Linked DNA regions of Ovis aries. The protein of the gene in region 4 interacts with the protein of the main gene of each other region in a pairwise test. Links are inferred from orthologs where the notes say so. Each region holds a gene or a part of one and is shown on either strand. Other genes may lie near its edges.

The links. The genes of interacting proteins can lie anywhere in the genome.
Region 1: the proteins of GLRX3 (region 4) and RGS20 interact in binary tests that used the Homo sapiens proteins (3 or more experiments, as listed by UniProt). The link is inferred for Ovis aries from reciprocal best matches to the Homo sapiens genes GLRX3 and RGS20.
Region 2: the proteins of GLRX3 (region 4) and TRIM36 interact in binary tests that used the Homo sapiens proteins (3 or more experiments, as listed by UniProt). The two-hybrid records come from large-scale screens. The link is inferred for Ovis aries from reciprocal best matches to the Homo sapiens genes GLRX3 and TRIM36.
Region 3: the proteins of GLRX3 (region 4) and CA9 interact in binary tests that used the Homo sapiens proteins (3 or more experiments, as listed by UniProt). The two-hybrid records come from large-scale screens. The link is inferred for Ovis aries from reciprocal best matches to the Homo sapiens genes GLRX3 and CA9.
Region 5: the proteins of GLRX3 (region 4) and MAP3K3 interact in a two-hybrid assay, tested with the Homo sapiens proteins (2 studies listed by BioGRID and IntAct). The link is inferred for Ovis aries from reciprocal best matches to the Homo sapiens genes GLRX3 and MAP3K3.

The regions. Positions count from the first base shown.
Region 1 is NC_056062.1:34,891,057-34,895,151, reverse strand, and holds the start of RGS20 (regulator of G-protein signaling 20), read right to left. Parts: upstream 2,801-4,095; 5' UTR 2,727-2,800; coding exon 2,554-2,726; intron 1-2,553. UniProt on the Homo sapiens protein: Inhibits signal transduction by increasing the GTPase activity of G protein alpha subunits thereby driving them into their inactive GDP-bound form.
Region 2 is NC_056060.1:4,005,803-4,009,930, forward strand, and holds the start of TRIM36 (E3 ubiquitin-protein ligase TRIM36), read right to left. Parts: upstream 2,801-4,128; 5' UTR 2,562-2,800; coding exon 2,499-2,561; intron 1-2,498. UniProt on the Homo sapiens protein: E3 ubiquitin-protein ligase which mediates ubiquitination and subsequent proteasomal degradation of target proteins. Involved in chromosome segregation and cell cycle regulation. May play a role in the acrosome reaction and fertilization.
Region 3 is NC_056055.1:52,860,614-52,864,913, reverse strand, and holds the start of CA9 (carbonic anhydrase 9), read left to right. Parts: upstream 1-1,500; 5' UTR 1,501-1,549; coding exon 1,550-1,916; exon of another isoform or gene 1,917-2,717; coding exon 2,718-2,747; exon of another isoform or gene 2,748-2,988; coding exon 2,989-3,159; intron 3,160-3,283; coding exon 3,284-3,426; intron 3,427-3,507; coding exon 3,508-3,600; intron 3,601-4,300. UniProt on the Homo sapiens protein: Catalyzes the interconversion between carbon dioxide and water and the dissociated ions of carbonic acid (i.e. bicarbonate and hydrogen ions).
Region 4 is NC_056075.1:48,924,400-48,927,899, reverse strand, and holds part of GLRX3 (glutaredoxin-3), read right to left. Parts: intron 3,245-3,500; coding exon 3,192-3,244; intron 706-3,191; coding exon 666-705; intron 559-665; coding exon 466-558; intron 1-465. UniProt on the Homo sapiens protein: Together with BOLA2, acts as a cytosolic iron-sulfur (Fe-S) cluster assembly factor that facilitates [2Fe-2S] cluster insertion into a subset of cytosolic proteins.
Region 5 is NC_056064.1:47,641,422-47,645,613, reverse strand, and holds the start of MAP3K3 (mitogen-activated protein kinase kinase kinase 3), read right to left. Parts: upstream 2,801-4,192; 5' UTR 2,460-2,800; coding exon 2,456-2,459; intron 1-2,455. UniProt on the Homo sapiens protein: Component of a protein kinase signal transduction cascade. Mediates activation of the NF-kappa-B, AP1 and DDIT3 transcriptional regulators.

The DNA of each region.
Region 1 (4,095 bases), on a different chromosome or scaffold from region 4:
TCTTGGTAGGTACCTTTGGGGGCCTTGGAGTTTCTCTCTCTCCTTTCAGTGTGTAATGTCTCACAGCAAGGGCTTTGATGGGCTTCTCAAGGGGTCATACACCTGGACCAGGAGAGCACCTAAAAGTCTGCACTCTCAGAGGGACAGCAATTAAAAGGACGTGAAAAATAATTTTATGTGGAAAATTTTCTGGTCTAAGCTCTGATCACTTTTATTACTGGGAAAGAATGCATACATGTGTATGCATCTATCTGTACTGACAGATGGATGGGTAGATAACTGCTCACCAGGGTGGCTGTAAAGTTTCCTCTCTCTCACTTTTATCACTAAAAAGAGCACCTGGTCCAGGGAGCACCCCCTCTCCCACTCGGTCTCTGTGCTCTGAATGGAAGGAAGCAGAAATCCTGGTGGAGAAAAAATAATCCCAATGAAGTCAAGTTCATAAGTGTGTGTCTGTCTGTGTGCCTGTGTAGGTGGAGAGATGTTAATTTATTTTGTAGTAAATTAGCAGTTTTGTTGGGTTCTTTGGGCAGAATGCACAGATAAATCACTACTGAGGAGGCTGGATTCCAGCCTGGGAAATTATAGCCTGCTTCTAAAGCACAGCCAGAATCTATTGACTTAGTAACGAAGTCAGTGTCAGAAAAAACATGGGTTTGAATCACCACTGAGCTGACTGCACACATGTAACAGTGTTTTTTACAAACATGCTTTCTCATCTCTAAAAAAGGTTTGACCACCTCAGCACTTCTGACCTAACGAAATTGGTTAAGAATCCAAATAAAAAAGAATAGCAAGAAGAACCACAATAGACAACGCATTTATGCAACACAAATGAATTGTTATTTTCAGTCTAACCTGCTTTTGGAAGGATTTTTTTTACACATTTAATTCTGAAATTATTATAGATTCACTGGAAGTTTCACAAAAGAATGTACACACAGTGGTCCCACACACTCTTCACACAGTTCCACCCAATGGAAACTGCATAAATTGTACAACATCAAAGCCAGGAGACACACTGGTATAATTCTAAGAGCTCATTCAGATTTCATAAGTTTGTATGCACCCGTGTGTGTATGTGTGTGTGTGGTGGAGGGGTTGCCATTTTCTTCTCCAGGGGATCTTCCTGACCCAGGAATGGAACCCACATCTTCTGCGCTGGCAGGTGAATTCTTTACCACTAAGTCACCTGGGAAGCCCGACAGGTGAGTATAGTTCTATGCAATTTTAACACATGAGAAGGTTTGTGTAACCACTGAAATCAAGTGTAGCTTCCTATTGAACCACTGAAATCAAGTACCTTCCTATTGAAAAAGCTTCCCAATGACTTAACAAACAAACAAACAACTTCTCCTTGTGCCAGTTGGTTAAAATAAGATTGGGGAGGAACTTCCTTGGTTGTCCAATGGTTAAAACTCCATGCTACCAAGGTTCCATTCCTGGTCTGGGAACTTAGACCCCATATGCTGCATGGTGCAGTCAAAAGATAAAACAAAAAAACTATGGGGAAAGGACAGATCTAGATAATTAGAATCTGCAAATACGTGATTATTATGAGGATATGAGCGAAGGCACAGGCACAGTTTCTAGTGCTGCAGAATCTGGACAGGTCTGCGGTTGTAGAATTTATCAGCATTTACTTCTGAGCTCTGATCATTGGTCACAGGCATTAACACATGTCCATCCCCCTCCATACTAAATAGCCTTTTAAGAGGTGTTTCTATTAATAGTTAAGAGGATCGACAGACTTAAACTGTACTTTCTGCAAAGATACACACAACGCTGAATAGGAAAATGGTTACTCTTCGGGGAAATCACATTGTCTACTGATAGAAATTCATGCTTAAGAAATTCATCTAGGCAACTATGACTTTAGGAAAAACACCCTTAGTTCCTAAATGGTCTTTCATGCCTGTATTAGTTTTACCAATTTTTTTTTCCCTCAAGCAATTTTGGTGGAAAGCAATCTATACTTTTTCATTGGTGGTGTTTTAGTCACTCAGTTGTGTTCAACTCTTGCAACCCCACGGACTATAGCCTGCCAGGCTCCTCTGTCGATGGGATTTTCCAGGCAAGAATACTGGAGTGGGTTGCGGGTTCTTTCTCCAGGGGATCTCCCCAACCCAGGGACTGAACCCGGATATCTTATATCTCCTGCATTGCAGGTGGATCCTTTACTGACTGAGCCACAAGGGAAGCCCATTTTTTTTCATTACTATATGGGATATAACTTTTATGTCAGAATATCTAAGCATTGATAGTAGCCATAGAAATCTATGGCTAGGTTTTCTGCTTTTTAAGACATTACTTCCTGAAACAAACAAAATGTAGTCATTTGCTGTTGTAAAGGGAAGCTGTTTATGTTGGAGAAAACTGGAAGAATCAGGTTATTATCAAAGTCCTAGTTTTTCTCTTGGGTTTAGTTTGGAAGCCTTTTTGATACATCTTCAATAAGGTAAAGTGAGCGCTGACACTAAAGCTTTCCTATGGTTTTGTATTCTTTCTGGATAAACCCTTTCCTTGCCAAGAACGGTCACGGACTGGGGAGATGGTCTTACCTTGACATTGTGCGTGGCTGTGGCACATCCTTCATTTTCCACGGTTTGGTGAACATTCACATTATATGGCTCAGCCCACGGCAGAGGCAGAAATCGTATCCTCCTCGATGGTCTGGAGAAATGTTTCTGGTGGCCCTGTTGGTTGTCTTGGGAAAGCCTGGGCATGTTTTTACAATAAAGCCTCAATCGAATCCTGTAGCTTGATTTTAACGGTACCAGCCCAGGGTCCACTCTATTTCTCTTCCTTTGGCTGGTGCTGGGCCATCGCTTCGTCTGCTGGGGGCCTCCCTGTAAAGTCGCATCCCTCGAAGCAAGAGGATTATCTGTGTTGTGGGTCAGCAGTTTATCCACAGTCCGTGGGCTCTATTCCAGGATGAGAGTCTCGGTATGTTCTGACTGCCCTCTACAGGTTGCAAGTGAAGTGAAAGTGAAGTTGCTCAGTTGTGTCAGACTCTTTGTGACCCCATGGACTGTAGCCTATCAGGCTCCTCAGCTCTACAGGTAGCAATGTACTCCTACTTCAAATTTAATGCTAAATCAAAACTGAAAGAAATGATTCAAGTGATATATTGCTTAGTATATCGTGATAAAGGAAATAAATCATGTGGTAATATTCTGCATTTGTAGTGTGTGATATGTGAAAAATTTGGACTATACTCTCGAGAGGCAGAGGAGCCATTTTATCTCAGTCTCGTAAAAGGTCCTTCTAGCAGCAGTCAGCTTTGTGGCTGGAAATGCTTGCTAAACTCATAACCACACTTCACTTCAAAGATTATTACTTTTTATTTATGTCTTGTAGAATTAATTGAGGACTTCCTTGGTGGCTCAGATGGTAAAGAATCCACCTGCAGTGCAGGAGACCTGGGTTTGATTTCTAGGTTGGGAAGATCCCCTGGAGGTGGTCATGGAAAACCACTCCACTGTTCTTTCTGGAGAATCCCCATGGACAGAGGAACCTAGTGGGCCACTGTCCATGGGGTCACAAAGAGTTGGACACGACTGAGTGACTAAGCACAGCACAGCACAGAATTAATTGAAGTAATTTCCTTGTGCGATAGTCATCTAACCATGAAGTCAAAACTTGGCTTCTACATCATACTTCCTTTTTGTAAAGTGCTTTATAAATATCAGATTATTGGACTTTCCCTGGTGGTCCAGTGGTTAAGTCTCTGCGCTTCCACTGCAGGGGGCCTGGGTTTGATCCTTGGTCAAAGGTATCTAAGGCCCAGGTGGCTTCTGCTGGGTCTGGAGGAGTACAGAGGTAAGGACCCCAGGTATGCATTGCTGGGGACTATGAACTGAAAGAACTTCCTTTCATAACATAGTCCCAGGCCCCTAAAATGGATATATAAAACTAACATAAGTTGGACCACACATCATGTTAAAAAATTAACTTGAAATCAATCATAGACCCAAGTTTAAGAGTTAAGATTATAAAACTTTTAAAAGGAAACTTAGGAGAAAATATTTGTGATCTCAGATGAGGCAAAGCCTTCTTAGACATGATACCAAAAAGCACAAGTGACAAAAAAAA
Region 2 (4,128 bases), on a different chromosome or scaffold from region 4:
AGGGGAGGAAAGGGGAGGGGGCAGGAAGACAGGAGCCTCAACTCTCGTTTTAAACTTCACAAACCTGGTGTAATTAGATCCATTTCATATTATTCTTTACATTACCAACTTGAGCTACAAGGTGGAACCTAACTTCTCAGAGGAAAAGAAAGCAAGTCAAACCTCAAAGGTCTGTTAGTCCATGGCTAATGCTCAGTAAGGTATTCAGTGTTCAAAGTCTGTATAATCACATATATGAGGAGGGTAACTGGGAGGAGCAGAGTTATAAGGAAAGAGGGCAAAGAAGAAGCTTGAGTTGTAATGGTTAAGAGGCTACTCCTGACCCCTCACTCCACCAGATAAAAGGTAGAGACCCTACTGTGAGAGCCCACTCTCCCACTCCAGAGATTTCACAGGCACACTTGCCCCTCTGACTCTCAAAGTCAGCTGAGCTCACGTCTCCACTGCAGCTGCAGGCCCATTACTGAAGAGTGTCCACCTAGTGGAGAGTGAGGCAGAGAAATTCAGTGGATGAAGCCAGAAGGTTCTGAGTTGTGTTTTTTCACTACAGTGAGCGTACTCTGACACACAATGCTAATTGCAAGAGGTTAGTTTTCTTCACCTGACTTTATTATAAGACGTTTTACAGGTTCATTAATGATTCCACCCTCCTTGCCCATTTAGTGTTCATGAGAAGTTCACCTGCCTGCTTCATAATCACCTGGGATGTCAACTTGCAGATCCCTGGATCCTACCTCAAAACTATTCTCTCCTAATATCAAGTGTTGCCCGCTTACTGAAGGACAGTATTAGCCAAGGAATACAATTCCAGCTAACTCTGAAGAATACCTGAGCACCAGGGGCCTGAACTGACTCCTCAGTCATTCTGCTCCTGATCCCACCTAGGGTGGGCCATTGATTTTGTAACCAACTGAAGGCATCCTCCTGCCCCTTTTGGTTGGTTCCTGGGCAACCAGGGTCCTGCTGTGTTCTTTAGACAGGCCAGGCTCGCCCCCTGGAAGCCAGCCTCCTCGCTCAGCACTTCCTTCGGAACTTCTCTCCCCAGGGTCAATCCTCCAGAGGGTGGAGAAGGTTGTGGTAGGCACTCCAGACCGGGGTTGGGGAAGGGAGGTGCTCGTGGCCAAGGGGAAGCTGTTTGGGGCGATAAAGAGCTTGGAGATGCTGGCCAGAATGTCCCTATGCGTGTGCTGGAGGCTCCTCGAAGTGTAGGATGGAGCCTCGGGACACGAAAGAAAGTCGAACCGGTGTCCTCCGTTCCTGCTTCTGGTCCGAGGTGTAAATGGCAGGGGTGGCCTGAAACACTGACTCTACTAAAGAAAAGTGAATAAGCATTCTGTTTTGGGTGAGTGTATTCCCTGTTTGCACAACAAGAGAGGGAATTCAGGAGGCCCACAGTTAGCCCAGGACCCTTCGGTCGCGGGAGGTGGGGTGGGGGACGTTAACCTGCTCCCCAGCCGTGGGACTGTCTGGCCTGAAGCATCCGCGTTGCTGGGGTTGGTGAGATATGAGACTCATGCTCCAGGGGCTCACAGCACAGCTGCAGATCATCCTTCATTTTCAAGATGACCTTGCGCAGGGCATCCTTTTCTCATCTGTGCCATAACCTTTTCTCGAAACTCCAGCTGCAGAAGACCGTGTCTCGCTTTCTAGGCACAGACGAATCCCGGGACTTTCACATTTCCCAGTTCTTCCCGCCTGTGAACCACATAGGAGCCTCTACAGGCGCTTTCTCAGATGTAGCTCGGAAGGCAGACTCCGGCAAGGCTTTCTGCTTCAGCGAGGCGCCACTCCGCCCGGCTGAGGGCGGGGTCACCAGGCGCCACCGACAGCGCCAGCCTGGGTTTCCAAAGGACTCCGAAAGGAACAGGTGCCTGGCTGAAACCCGGCGCCTTCGCATCTCCCTCTCCCCTCCAAAGGAAGGGTGCCTGAAATGTTCCGGGCCTGGGACAACGGCCGAGGACCTGAAAACACCAGGGCTGGGCGAACCGGGGTTCTGCCCCTACTTATCCGCCGTAAGGTCGGACTGCGTGAACCCGATCCCACCCTCATAGCCTATCCACCGTCTGGTCCAGCCTTCCCTCCGCGCTCTGCGCCTGGACAGACCAGGTCAACCACACGATGTCAACCACGCTTAGGAGCCCTGGGCGCGTCGAGGAGCGCCCCCTGGCCAACGCCCGGCCCTCCTCCCCATCTTCGCAGGCTGAGCCCTTGCCCCTCTCGGTCCCCAGAGCCCCGCCGTCACCCAGCTGGCCAATTCCTTTTCGGCTCATTTCAGAGATGCCGCGCTATTAATGGGGGTGGAGAGGGTGGGAGGCCAGATGTCTGCTTTGCTTTCAGCAGCGGCTGAGAACACGGACCTGGGACTCCAGTCCCGCCCTCCGCGGGGGCTGCCAGGCCCAGGACACCTGCAGCCACAGGCCAAGTAGCGCCCGGAGTCGGGGGCGGGGGTGAGGTCGGGGGCGGAACCCAGGCCGCAGCTCCGCGCCCCCGGCACTTACCTTGCCTCTGGCTAATAATTCCATGATGTAGCCAAATTCACTAATCTCCCCCGACTCAGACATGGTTAAGATCCTTCGCAAACTCTGGAGGAAGGAGGCAGGCGCATCGAATGTGTCCTTTTTCTCTCTTTTCTCTGTTTTTAGCCTGAGTTTTGCCAAGCGCCCCGCCAGGATGCTGTTAACGAGGAAAAATGAGAAAGCGAGGGGGAAAAGCAAAACGCGGAGTTGGGTGGGAGGAAGGCCATGGAGGGCTCCTGGGCAGCCACGACTGTTTGCTCAGGACGGGGCGATGTAACGGGAACAAACGAGGGCGGCGGCGGCGACCGTGAAATCCACACCAGGCGGAGCCCGGCTCGGAGGCCCCGCCTCCTCGGGGGTCGCGCCCGCGCCTCCCGCCAGGGGGTCAGCCGGCCGCGGAGACAAACACCGACACAAAAGCGTGTCTGCTCCCGGCGCGGCGCCGACCCAGCCCCGACACCCACTGGCTGGTTAAAGCTGTCCTCTATCTGATGCCTGAGACGGTGGCCGTCCGGAGCTCTTCCTGCAAGGCCCGGGAAAAATCCCCATCCCACTGTCTGGAGGTGTGAGGGCAGAGAGAATGAACGCAGAGCAGGCACAACAAAGGATCTGGCTGACAGCGCCGGGAGAAAAAGACTAAGTGAGGGCCCAGGAAATGGCAACGCCGCGTCTCAAGTCAGCCTTCCTGAAATCCGATAGGTGACAAAGACCAAGCCAGCGCTCCTGAGATGAGAACACACACCAGGGGTTGTGTTTTAAACACTCAAAGTGTGTGAAGGTCGATTATATCTCTATATCCTCTTGATACTCAACTTTCCTTTAATTAAAAAAAAAAAAAAAGAGACGATTCTGGCCATCAAGGTGCGCTTCCTGGATAAACATTCTCACCCTGTAGCTACTACTAACGCACTTGCCAATTATTTTCATTTCATGGAGTTAAACATTAAGTGCTGTGCTTCTCACGTTTTATACTTCTCTCTTAAAATAGCAGCTCCCCTAGCAGGCTGCAGCTGAAACCGGCCTCTTAGGCTTCTCTCTGCTTCACTCAAACCTGACAATCTTTGCTTCTCTTGAGAAGAAAACTCGGCGGAACAAAGTCAGGCCTACTCTCTTCCTGCACTCTATGCAGTCTCTTTATCTTTCTTGAAAAGGAGAAAAGTGATAAGGGCATGAACTTTTCTCTTTAAAAAAAAAAAAAGAAAACCCCTTTCTTCTCTGGCCCAGAAATCCAAAAGTATATAATGATTTCTCTTTTCCATACATACTTCTCCATAAAGCTCTAACAACGTTGCCCCTTTCTTCCACCAGAACGTTGCTCCTTCTTCAGTGAGTTACTTCCCTCTCTGCCTTTTTGTTGGTGGTGTTACTGTCCTCTCTGAGTTGCTGCTGATCCCCTCTTACAGTGAGCAGCAAAAGTTAATATGCTGGGGGTTCACAGTGAGGGCTCAGTAGAAACTGAGAAACAAGTATATGTCTTGCAGATAAGCTTCTTGTCCTTCTCAGGTTCTATAGAACCTTGGTATGTCCTTTGCTTCCATAAGAAAAGCTAGGTACAGAATTCAAGTAAGATCTGTAGCATTCATGGAGAAGGCAATGGCACCCCACTCCAGTA
Region 3 (4,300 bases), on a different chromosome or scaffold from region 4:
TCTTTAGATAAGAGGTCATGAGGCTAGGAGGGTCCCCAGAGGGGAGTGGGGTAGCAGGAGCACCCTGGAGTTAGGGGCTAGTTACAAACCAGATTGTAAATGTTCAACGTATTTAATTAGCCTACACAACCGTAATGGTGTACATACCTACTGAATATGAGCCCCAGGGAAGAATCTCCTGAGATGGCCTTACTGTCTTCTGGTTTGTCGAAGCCACTGGGGCCTTCCTAGAATGTGAGCTACCGAACAGCAGAGGCTGTTCTCCAGGTGAGCGCTGCGTCCCTACAGCCTAGAACCATGCCTGGAGGACTGGAGGGGGCTCACCAAATGTTAAGTGAATAGGCAGACTGGGAACCCCCAGCCCATTCTTGGGGTCCTCTCACTCTTCACCTCTTTGCACCCACTTTCCCCCTCCAATCCGTGCTCCACACCACCCCTCAACATAACCTAGTGTGAGATACAAATTCTGTCCCTCTCCTGCTCAAAGTATTTGATATCTCTCTTTTGCCCAGGATCCCATTTCCCCCACTTCTTTTTTTTAACCAATTGAACTGCTACTTCTTTAAACCCTGACCAGATTTTGCCAACTTCTGTGTTACTTTCTGAGAATTCATCTCTCTCCTCCAAATATTATGATAGTTTTGCCCTCACTCACCAGACAGTGAGCTCCTCAGGACAGGGACTGTGTCTTGTTTCCATACCTCTAGCCTGACATATGGTAGATGCTGAATAAACAGAAGAGTGAAAGAAAGAAATAGATGAACAAAGGTTTGGATAAAAACGAATAGTTTAATTTTGCTAGAATATGAGGGAGAGTAGTAGGAGATAAGATGGAAAAGTCTCTTGGGTAAGATTTTGAAGGGACTTGAAGTCATCTGGAGGGAGAAGATAGGCAGATGGAAGATACTTTGCAGAGTGTGGGAAGCCAGTGTAGGTTTTTGAGCAGAGGTGTAATATGATGAATATTACATTCAGTTTTAACCCATCAGAGACTCATGAATATATGCAGCTGTCCATTCATATTCAAATTCACATCCCACCTATTCATCCATCCACTCTCCCACCCCCAGACTCCCCCAGGAGCCTTCCCTACCCCTTTACCTGCTCCCTGGCCCAGCCAGGAATGTATATATGGGCAGCTTTCCTCTCAGCCAGAGGATGTGGGGGCCCCAGCTGCCTGGGGCTGGGAAGCAGGCCAGGGTTAGCTGGAGCTGGCTGACTAGCAGTCGGGCAGTGCCAGGGAGAACCTGTATAGTGCCAGGTGGTGCCTTGGGTTCCAGGCTGAGCCCATGACCCTGATAACCTTCTGGCTAGGCACATACCTGCCCCTCACTCCACCCCATTCCCACCTTGCTATCGGAGAGGGGGCACAGGGCCAGTAGACCCACAGGACTTTGGCTCCATCTCCAAAAGGGCCTTCTGTGAGTCAGCCTGCTCCCCTCCAGGCTTGCTCCTCCCCCACCCACCTCCTGTTTCCGATGCACGTACAGCCCGTGCACTACAGCCCCAGCCCGTACACACCGTGTCCCAGGACACCCCAGTCAGCCGCATGGCTCCCCTGAGCCCCAGCCCCCGGCTCCCTCTGTGGATTCCGGCCCCTGCCCCAGGCCCAGCTGTGCAATTGCTGCTGTTACTGCTCCTTCTGGTGCCTGCCCATCCCCAGAGCCTGCTCTGGATGCAGGGTGCTCCCGCCACGGGAGGAGATTCATCTGGGGAAGATGATCCACTTGGTGAGGAGGACCTGCCCAGTGAAGAGGATATACCTGAAGAGGAGGACTCACCTGGAGAAGAGGACCTACCTGGATTGAAGATGGACCCAGGAGAAGAGAATTCTCTGAAGTTAGAGGATCTACCAACTATTGAGGCACCCAGGGACACTGAAGACCTCCAGAATAACGCCCACAGAGACGAAAAAGGTAAGTGGTCATCAGCTCTGCAAACCTAGGCTCCAGGAGGTTGGTGCTTCCGCCACATTAAACCCCAGCCCAGGGAGGGATTATTCAGGGAAGAAGAGGAGCCTGTGCTCTGACAGTGATTTTTCCCAACCCCAGGAGCTCCCTTGCCACTAGCCCCTTACCCTCTTTCAGAGCTAGACGAAGAGACAATAAAAAGGGACACGGAGAGAGGTAAGCAGGAAGAGACAGAAAAGAAAGGGGGAGGTTGGAGAGGAGAAGAGATCGGAATGTGGAGAGCAAAGTACGAAGAGACAGGAGAGGAAGGAAGGGGGCTGGTACCAGAGGAAGAGCAGGAAGGGTTTGTAGAAATCACCGCATCTTCAGTCTACAGATGAGGAAAGTGAGACCTAGGAAGAGGGAAACAGCAGGTAGAGGAACCTGGTATCTTGACCCTCAAGCCAGGAACTTTGGAAAAGGAGATGGAGATCAGAAAGGAATCAGGGAGAGTGGGGAGGAGGGATTTCTAAAGGAGAAAGATGGTCTACTAACCTGGGCCTGGGAACTGAGGTCTCCACCCATTTTACAGACCCTAAGACAGTGGTTGCAAGCAGGGCTAGTAGAATCTTTGTGTGGCCCATCAAGCTGTGGCGTTTTATTTGGCTGCAACCTATTGTGCCTGTTTGTGGTGTTTCTGTTACCTGCTATGCTTTTGTAAGAATCTGAGTTTGTGAACGCTGCTAGTGAGGATGACCCACCTCTTTTTGGCCGCCGGGGAGTAACTGGGCTCAAAGATCAGCCTCTTCATTCTTCTCATTTATGCAGGGGATGGCCACAGTCATTGGCGTTATGGAGGTGAGACACCCACCCCCTACAGAGACCCAATCTGGGCACCCGGCTCTGCTGATGCCCGTACACGCATCCCTCACCCCGCATCCACGTCTGCCAGTCCCCCGCCAACCCCGACCCCCGCATCCTTTACCTCTGTTTCCCTCCCGGATCCCTCCTGACTCGACCGCATCACTTTTTCTACTCCACTTCCCTAAAAGTTCCTGATCTTGTCTTCAAACTTCCTGTACACACTTGCCCCCTCCAGGCGCTCCGCCATGGCCCCAGGTGTCCCCAGCCTGCGCTGGCCGCTTTCAATCCCCGGTAGACATCCGCCCGGAGCTCACTGCGTTTTGTCCAGCCCTGCAACCCCTGGAACTCCTTGGCTTTGAGCTCCCGCCACAACCAAAACTGCGCCTGTGCAACAATGGCCACACCGGTGAGGCGGTCTCGGGGCGGAGCCTCAGGGAAGGGGCGGAGTCTACCTGGAGATGAGGGGACGGTCATTGGAAGTTAGGCTGAGGGTGGGGCGGGCCCCGGCTCACCTGCCTCTCACCACACAGTGCAGCTGAGTCTGCCTTCTGGGCTGAAGATGGCGTTGGGTCCCGGACAGGAGTACCGGGCCCTGCAGTTACATTTGCACTGGGGGGCCGCGGGTCGCCCGGGCTCGGAACACACGGTTGATGGTCACCGTTTTCCTGCCGAGGTGAGCGCGCAGCTGTCCGCGAAGTGTCAAAGCGGAGTGCCGGGTAAGGGACCTCGCCCACTCCTACCGTGTCTTCTCCAGATTCACGTGGTTCACCTCAGCACTGCATTTGAGGAATTTGACGAGGCCTTGGGGCGCCCAGGGGGCTTGGCCGTCTTGGCAGCCTTTCTGCAGGTACCAGCCCTGGACACCCCCCACCTCTGCTTTCTTACGCCCTCGGGCTCAGAGTATCTTGCCCCAGAAACTCCCATCCCCGCACCTGACTGTCATCTTCATTCAGTTCTTTCGTTAACGCCCACTGTGAGCCAGGCTCTGGGCCACAGAAAAAAGATCCCGAAACAGTTGATCCTGTCTCCCCACAGCCAGTGAGGGAGGCTGACAGGGTAGACATATACACAGGACACATAGTCAAAGAGGTAGTCAAGGAAGGCCTCACAGAGGAAGTAAAACTTGAAGCCTTTGCTAGTGGGAAAGAAAAAGAGATATTCCATGCAGAGCGAACAGTACACGCAAAGACTCAGAATATGGCCCATTTGGGGAATGGCAGGTGTGGGGAATGGTCAAAAGGAAGAGTCATTTCTCTAATACCTTTATAACCCATAATTTCCCCTTTGCAAAATGCACTGAGTCTAGAGAAGCATTTGACTTCTTTGGACAAACACAATGATTAGAAGAGGCTAATAGGAAGGAAGGGTGGTGAGACACCTGTGGATGGTGAAACACCTGTTAGACTCACTGCCTCCCTGACTCATTAACACCAGCCTCACAGCACTGCAGAGAAGTACCTTGGAAATAGCATGTCCTGGATCCAGAAGTCAAACTCATGAATTATTAAGGTGAATGCAGAGGTACCATGGATACAAAGGTTATTGGG
Region 4 (3,500 bases):
TATTTCTGGATGAAAAAACCTAAGATTCACAGACAAGAGGAGCCTGAAGGATACAGAAAGCATATTTAAATACGGACTGTGCAAGGAAATTCAAAGTAGAGACAGGGTGGAAAGAAGCTAAAACATGGAAGAACTTAGTGCCGTGTGAGTGAAGCAGGGGTGGAGCCTGGCCACGCCCAGAGCTGCTCTGAGTGCTGAGTCTCTCTGGGGACCCTGGCTGGCAGCTCCTCAGAACCAGAGCAAAGGACCTAGTGGGCAGGAGAGGCCATACAGAGGGGCTGATTCTGACTGGCTCCGGTGAGAGATAAGAGACAAGATATTCTTGTTGGAGAGATGGTAGCTCTGGGCTGGAGCGATCAGACACGAGGCCAGAAAAGGACACCAAGGACAAGTCCAGTGAAACAATAGTTTTCATCCACGCTCAGGCTTTCATTCCTCCAGGCTCCCAGTGATTCCTGACCTCACCTTAACGATGTCCAGTCCTCCGACAAGCTCCCCCTTCACATACAGCTGAGGGTACGTCGGCCAATTGGAGTAAGCTTTTAATCCTTGCCGAACCTACGGAAACAACAGGAACCCTGAAATCATCCTATCAGATTAGAATAAATGACAATCCTAATGGTTAAAACTAAGACAAAAGACAAAACCTAAAACACAGAACTTACTTCTTCATCCTCCAATATATCAAATGTCTCATATTCAATCCTACAAAAAAGAGAAAACATTTTGACAAGAAATACAGTTTTAGACAAAAATTATAAACTCTATTTGGTGTTTCAGAAACAGTCAAGAAAAGTAAAACTATTTCGATGCTAACAAAATTTGGGGAAAAACAAATTATTTTACTTCTTTATCTGTCTTGTACTTGACAGAATAAGTCATCCCAAAATAGAAATTTTTCTGGATTTTCTGCTTCGGGAGCAAGAGGGGGCAGCCTTGCGGCACCCAGGGATGGAGGCTGCGAGCTCACCAGCGGGGGGCACGCCCTCAGGCAGCTCCCCCGCTGGGAATGAGCCTCCCACAGAGCACGCAGAGCACGTGTGCTTTCCCCACGACGCCTGCAGCCAGCGCGAGGGCTGTGGCTGCATGCCGTGTCATGAGGCTGCTAGTATAAATGAGTGAAAATTCAACCACATCTACGCAGGAGGATTTTATTACAAGGTGGTCAAGGAACGAGTAAGCATGTGTGACTGGATCCCTGCAGGAAGACTGTGAGCGCATGTGCAATTTCAAACCCTGGCCAAAGAAAATGCCACGTATGAAAAAACGAATTTCGTTTTCCATAAAACCAAAGCCATTTTCATAGGGAAATCCTGTTTACTTAATACACAAGCTAAGGTAAGTCACTTCAGTCGTGTCCGAATCTGTGCGACCCCATAGATGGCAGCCCACCAGGGTCCCCCATCCCTGGGATTGTCCAGGAAAGAATACTGGACTGGGTTGCCATTTCCTTCTCCAGTGCATGAAAGTGAAAAGTGAAAGTGAAGTCGCTCAGTCGTGCCCGACTCTTAGCGACCCCATGGACTGCAGCCTACCAGGCTCCTCCATCCATGGGATTTTCCAGGCAAGAGTGCTGGAGTGGGGTGCCACTGCCTTCTCCAACTTAATACACAAGTTCCAAAGAAAACAGTCCATGATGCAAGAAAGAGTCAAAAAAAAGAACTTGACAGGATAAATCAGCAACAAGTATCAAGAATGTAACGTCTGAAAGAAGAGCAAAAAAGATTAAAAAAAGAAAAACAGAACCACACAGTATAAGTCTCCCTTCAAGTTGAACTAAAGAGGCAGATCTCCTAATTGACACAATATGAAAAAAAACACTGAGTTCTGGAACTGCCCCTGATACAAGGGATCCAAGAAGTGCTGGGCCTACATGTTCACAGGTGTGGCGAGTCACAGCTGCCAGAACACCTCCTGAAGTTCCCTGAAAGGGCGCCTCCCACGCCCCAAGGCACATGGGGGTGCTCAGCCCCTCGGGGCAGATGTCTTTCCTCAGAAGGGACAGACAAGAGCAAGGATGGAGGAAAGGAACAGAGCGCTAGAAGCGCCCCCCACATTCCAACAGCTCCAGCAGGACCACAGTCCTCCACGTCAACAGACCCTGGAAGGGTTCAGCCAGCCTGGAGTCGGGAAGGTACTCCGTCCCAAAGAAGCTCCCTGCTCTGGGGGAACTGGTGCTTCCAATCCAATCCAGCTTAGACAGACATGGGACAGAAAGTAAGTGATGGAGACTTTCCACCAAATACTTAGGCTGTAATGGGCCCAGAACTGTCCCATCCTGGTCTCAGAACCCCAGGGGACTAGCTGGCACTAAGGACAGGTGGCCTGAGGGTGACTCACAGGAGATGTGGCAAAGGGAAGAAAGTGACCAGAGCCGCGCCAGCCTCGACTGCAGCCCAAGGCAGCGTGAGGATGGGGCAGCTGGAGGCCGGAGCACAACAGCGACCAGTCTCTCCTCTGTGAAGCATCACAGTCACTTGAACAGAATGGCTGTTCTTCTTTTGTCCCGAAAGCTGCATTTGGGGCTGTGTTACTCCGCCCAGCCCAAGAATGCCCACACACTTCAAAGGTGACTTTTCCTGTCACGTCATAGGAGTCTATCTAAAGCTACAGTTAGAATCCTTACAATACGGAAAAGAGGCAGGTGAGAATAAGGAAGAAAAATAAGCAAAAACATTGGGCAACACAGAACATGTGCTAAGTATCTCTAAATAGGCGGTTTGACCACAATTCCAGTCTTCTTACCTGGCAGCTTCGTCACTGAGATCAAAAGCATGAGCCCCACAATCTGATTTACCCACCTCTCAGACTCAGATAACGGATCTTCCTGTGCTTCCTGTTTCACAAACTATTTGGAAGCTAGAATATTTTTTTAAGAAAATTAAAAATCTATAATACACTTTCCCTAAAATATCTTTATGCATGCTAAGAACTCAGTTATTAGTTTTCCTCTGGGAAAGTAGACAAATAGTTATCTCAATGTCTGCCAAAATACCTCCTTTATGTTACCAATAGGTTGACATTGGTCAAAAAAATTCTACTGTGGTCTACGTTAAAGCATTCATAAAATGCTACAGCAAAAATAAATAGATAAAAATACATGAACAGATATAACAACTGAGAAGAATCAATGTCAGAACAGAAAAGTTAGAATTTCTTAAATACATTCTCTGAAAACAAGATTTACTTACCCAGTACTATTTAGTATTTCCAAAATCTGTCTGCTGAAGCCACACTTAGCTTCCTAATTTAGGGAAAAAACACAAACTTCAGAATGCACTGCATACCGACACAGCCCTGGGCGCGGCCCTGCCTGAGGCTCTGCCGGGGGATGGCACTGCAGAAGAGGGCCGGCCCCCAGGGCCTCCTCGTCGCCCCTTCAAGAAGGACCCATCCAGACGTCCCCCCAGGCGCGCGGCCCCCAGCCTGACTTGGGCTTGTCACCCCCGGAGAGGACTGTGTTCCGACACTGTCACCTCGTGATCAAAAACCTCCCGAGT
Region 5 (4,192 bases), on a different chromosome or scaffold from region 4:
TATAAAATCTGACCTGTTTTCATTACCAACCCAAGCTGTCAAACAAGCTTGAGTCTGGGGCTTAGAACAGCTCAGGAAAATATGACTGTTAACCAAGGAACCTGAAGGGCAGGAACTCAAATTAGTTTTACCCCTTTCCTCGCTGGGCTGGAGTTTAACAAGTATAATAAAATACTAATAAGTCTATGTTTCTCCCTTATTACCCCTTGAACTTATTTAGGACTACATACAGCAACTAACGCATGCTAACCTGGGAATCTGACTTTTCATCATTTATATCACCAAAATGGAAACCAGTACTTAAGAGAGAGACTCCGTGCGTGTTTGTACATACACCCTTGCTGAGCCCTATACAAAGCAAACTGAAGGTCAGGTTCTAAAAGAATTCAGTACTAGTTCTAGGTGCATGCCAAGGTCATCTGCTTAAAAGAAAGTGAGAATGGTATGAGGGAAGAGTGGTGAAGAAAGCCAGGCAGGGGTTCTTAAATCAGCTTGTCTGCCGATTAATATACTGCAGTCACCAGGCAAGTTAATTTCCCCCTCACTGTCTCACTTTCTTCACGTAAAAACTGACATGGGACCAAATGAGAAGATATTGAGTTTTTGGTCCTTTTTCCTTTGGGGCTCTGGACCCTATCTACATAGTTCCTTTCGTCCCCATCACTGTCTCTCCATATGCTCACACATTTACGTTTTTTGAAATGATTTTGAAATGTGAAAACAGGCTGACCTCTATTTTATTATTAGGCACGAAATGTAGTCAACATATCTGGACACTGATTCAGCACTCGAGAAAGTGGAAAATAGGAGGTCTGCACACCCTTAAGTATTCACACTCCCCTTTGGGATTTAAGCCTGTCCCCGCAGGATAAAAAGGAAAGACTGATTAGAAAGATTATCACAAATGTAGGTTCACAAATCAATTCAAAGATTTAGTGTGATCATCAAATTCCAGAGCACAAGATAAATGTGCGAAACCTGGGGAGGACAAGAAGAATTATGTACCCCATTTACAGTAAATGCTCAACGAGTATTTGTTGAATTACGTATTTATTCAATAAATACCAGGCCTCACTGAGTTCGTTTTCTGCTTGCTGTCACAGACTTTGCCCAGAAAAGCAAGCACTTCTGAAATAAAGCATGGGAAGGAAACAGCCCAATAAATGAAGGAACCCATTCCTTACTGTAGAGGGGCAGCATGGAACAGAACAAGGCAATTCATTCAAAGCCAGAGTGTAAAGATGGGCCACAAAAGATTATCTGCCCAATGTGACACAGCAAACACTCAGCCTCCTACAAAAACGACTTGACCTTGCCATAGGGCAAAGCAAACATTAATGTTCCCTCTTCACAGATGGAATCAGTGGCTGTGCAAATGACCCCTTAACTGAAGTTTACCCCTTGATTAATTAGGACAATAACAAATACTTTGCAAAACTTGCCACTGCAGACAACTGTATCAAAATAACTGATCCAACAAGAGAAGCAAAGTACATCGAACATGTTACTGCTACTTAATGAACTCCAATAGTCGTCTGCTAAATTACCACAAAGGACATGAAATATAATTCAGTTCAAATGCTGCGTGTGGAAGACATTAAAACGTTCCTTAGACTACATCTTCACAACAGAAATTGCAACCATCGATTAAAAAGGAAATGATTTCAGAGATTTTTTTGTGTAGTGAATGTTTCTCTCTTTCAAAAGTTACATAATTTCAGGGACACCGCTAGATTAAACTAATGGATGTAAAACACTGCAACGAGATTTTTCAAAGAGTAGGATGTGTATTATCACTGGCAGCCGATTCCCAAACTCCAGCAGTCTGCGTGCAGCTCGCATTTCTCAACCGCGCGGTTGATAACAGTGATTGCCATTTTAATCACCTCGCAGCCTGTCTCCCCGCACGCCCTCCCCCCTGCGCTGGGGCGCGCACAGGGCTAGAGAGCAAGCCCCGGGAACTCTCACAGGCCGGCCTGTGTGAGCAAAGGGAAGGAAATGACACAGGCAGGAAAAAAAAGCAAATCAAGGAAAAGACACAACAGCAGCTAGGCCTGCACCAGCCTCCAGCCCGGGCCCCACACTGCGCTCGCGCTCCCCCGCCCTCGGGCTCGGGGTCCCGCTCGCTCGGCCCGGAGCGCGTTGCTCCGCCGAGCACGGGCCCTCGACCCGCTGCCGCTTCCTCGGGATGTGCTGGCCGCGCGGCCAGGAAAGAGGCGGCCAAGTGGGCTCTGCGGACCGGGGCCGCCCTTGAAGGCCGGGGGAGCCAGAACCCCCACCCGGGCCGCGAAGCCGCTAAGCCCGAGCGGGGCGGGCGGGCGCCGGCGGTCCGCAGCCCCGGCCGGGCGGGCTGTCCATGCCTGTCAGGCGGCGGCCCAGGGTCCTCCTCCCCTCAGCCCGGGGCGGGGCGACGCGAAGCAGCGCGGGCACAGGCCGGGGCGGTGGCGACACTCACCCATGGTGGCGATGGCGGCGGCGGCGGCTCGGGCCCGAGTGTCACCTCCGCAGCCGGAGCTGCATGCCGGGGGCCCGGGCGGCGGGGACGGCAGCGGGCCTGGCTCCGCGCGGGGGGCGCGGGCTGCGCTCGGGGCCCCCGCCGCCTCCCCAGGCTCCGGCTCCGGCTCCGCCCGCGGCCGGGCGCTGTGGCATGGGCAGGGTGGCCCGCTACATCCCCGGCGCTCCTCGGCTCGGCCCAGCCCGGCCTCGGCGGCGCCGCTCGGCCCGCCCGACCGCCAGTCCCTCAGTCCCGAAGTCGTTCCGTCCGGCCGCCGTTCTCCACCTCAGGAACGCTCCGAAAAACAAACCGCTGGTCGCGCAGCTCGCCACCCTGCCTGTCACTCACCCCAGCACTCGCCAATCCTAGCCAGCCGCTGGCCCATGGTGCCACCCCTCACTCATTTCACCACCCAATAACAAGGAAGAAGTCGCTGCCCCCACCGCCCCTCCTCCCCCAGCTCTCTCCAACACCCTAACTCTCAGCCGCCAGCTAATCAACGGCACCCCTCGATGAACCAATCCCGCCTACTCTCGCAGGATGCCAATAGGCGAAGCCAAAGCAGTTTCGGAGGGTTGTCTACCCTCTGCCAATCATCGGAACAGCTCCCGGTTCACTCCGCTGCTAGCCAATCACGTAGAAGGCTCTGAGCACCCTCCTCTGCGCATCCCTCGCAAACTTGCCCGCCCTCTCTCCCCGGAGGTGTGGGTTTTTCCAATCACAGCTCGCGCTAGAGGCTCCGCCCACATTCCCACCTCCTGTCAGTCACCCAAGTCTCGGCTGGCGCGCGGGCTGGCGCGGTTCCCCGCCGGCTACTTTGGGGCTGGAGTTTAGGAAGACGTTTGGAGGGGCCCCATTGCCTCCCGCCCTTCCAGCTCTCCGCGGCTCCTGAGGCTGACGTCCTGCCCCTTGGTGTCCCCACACCGGCGCGTAATAAGCGGGGAGGGTTCTGGCTCTGAGCGCTTCCCGGCGTGTGGCCACCTCTGCCGCTGGACCCCCAAGCAAGTCCTCCGGTCCAGAGGCTGCGCTTGCCCGGAGGCAGGAGCGGTTCACCACTGCCTGCCTTTTCCTAGGTCTCAACAGTCACACACCCCAAGGGGCTGGGGTAGTGCCGGGAAGTGGGTCCTAGGAATCTGCTGGCCAGGGCCGAAACCATTAAGTGAGGTTCTTTCGGGAAGAAAACTTTTTTTCTGGTCATAAAAGCAACACAAGCTCTTTGTATTAAAATTGAAAAAAACAGAAACTCCACCCCAGAGGTATTTTGTCTCTTTCCTACCTGAATATACAGCGTTTGATAAAAACGGCTTCATTTTGTTTTGTAGTGTGCTTAAATTTTACCCCGTTTTCCCGTGCCACTTAATATTGTCTCCCAAAACGATTGTACTTGACTGCATGATATTTCAAAATAGAGATGACCATAATTAATTTTCCCAGCCTTCATTGTTCAGCATGTTATACACCTCCATCTTCAGATTCCAAGGCCGCCACAATCCGGGCTCCCTTCCTCGGGCCCCTGTTCAGTGTAAGATAAATCAGACGCCAAAAACATCTTCCTCTGATGTCGCTTTCAACTGTCAACCAAGAACCTTTAGTGGTGGCTTTACCTTGGGTATCAAATCTCTTAAGAATTACTTTAGACCTCTTCCTTTAAATCCACATCTTAGATTTAGGAATATTTGCCTGTATTCAAAGGTCTAC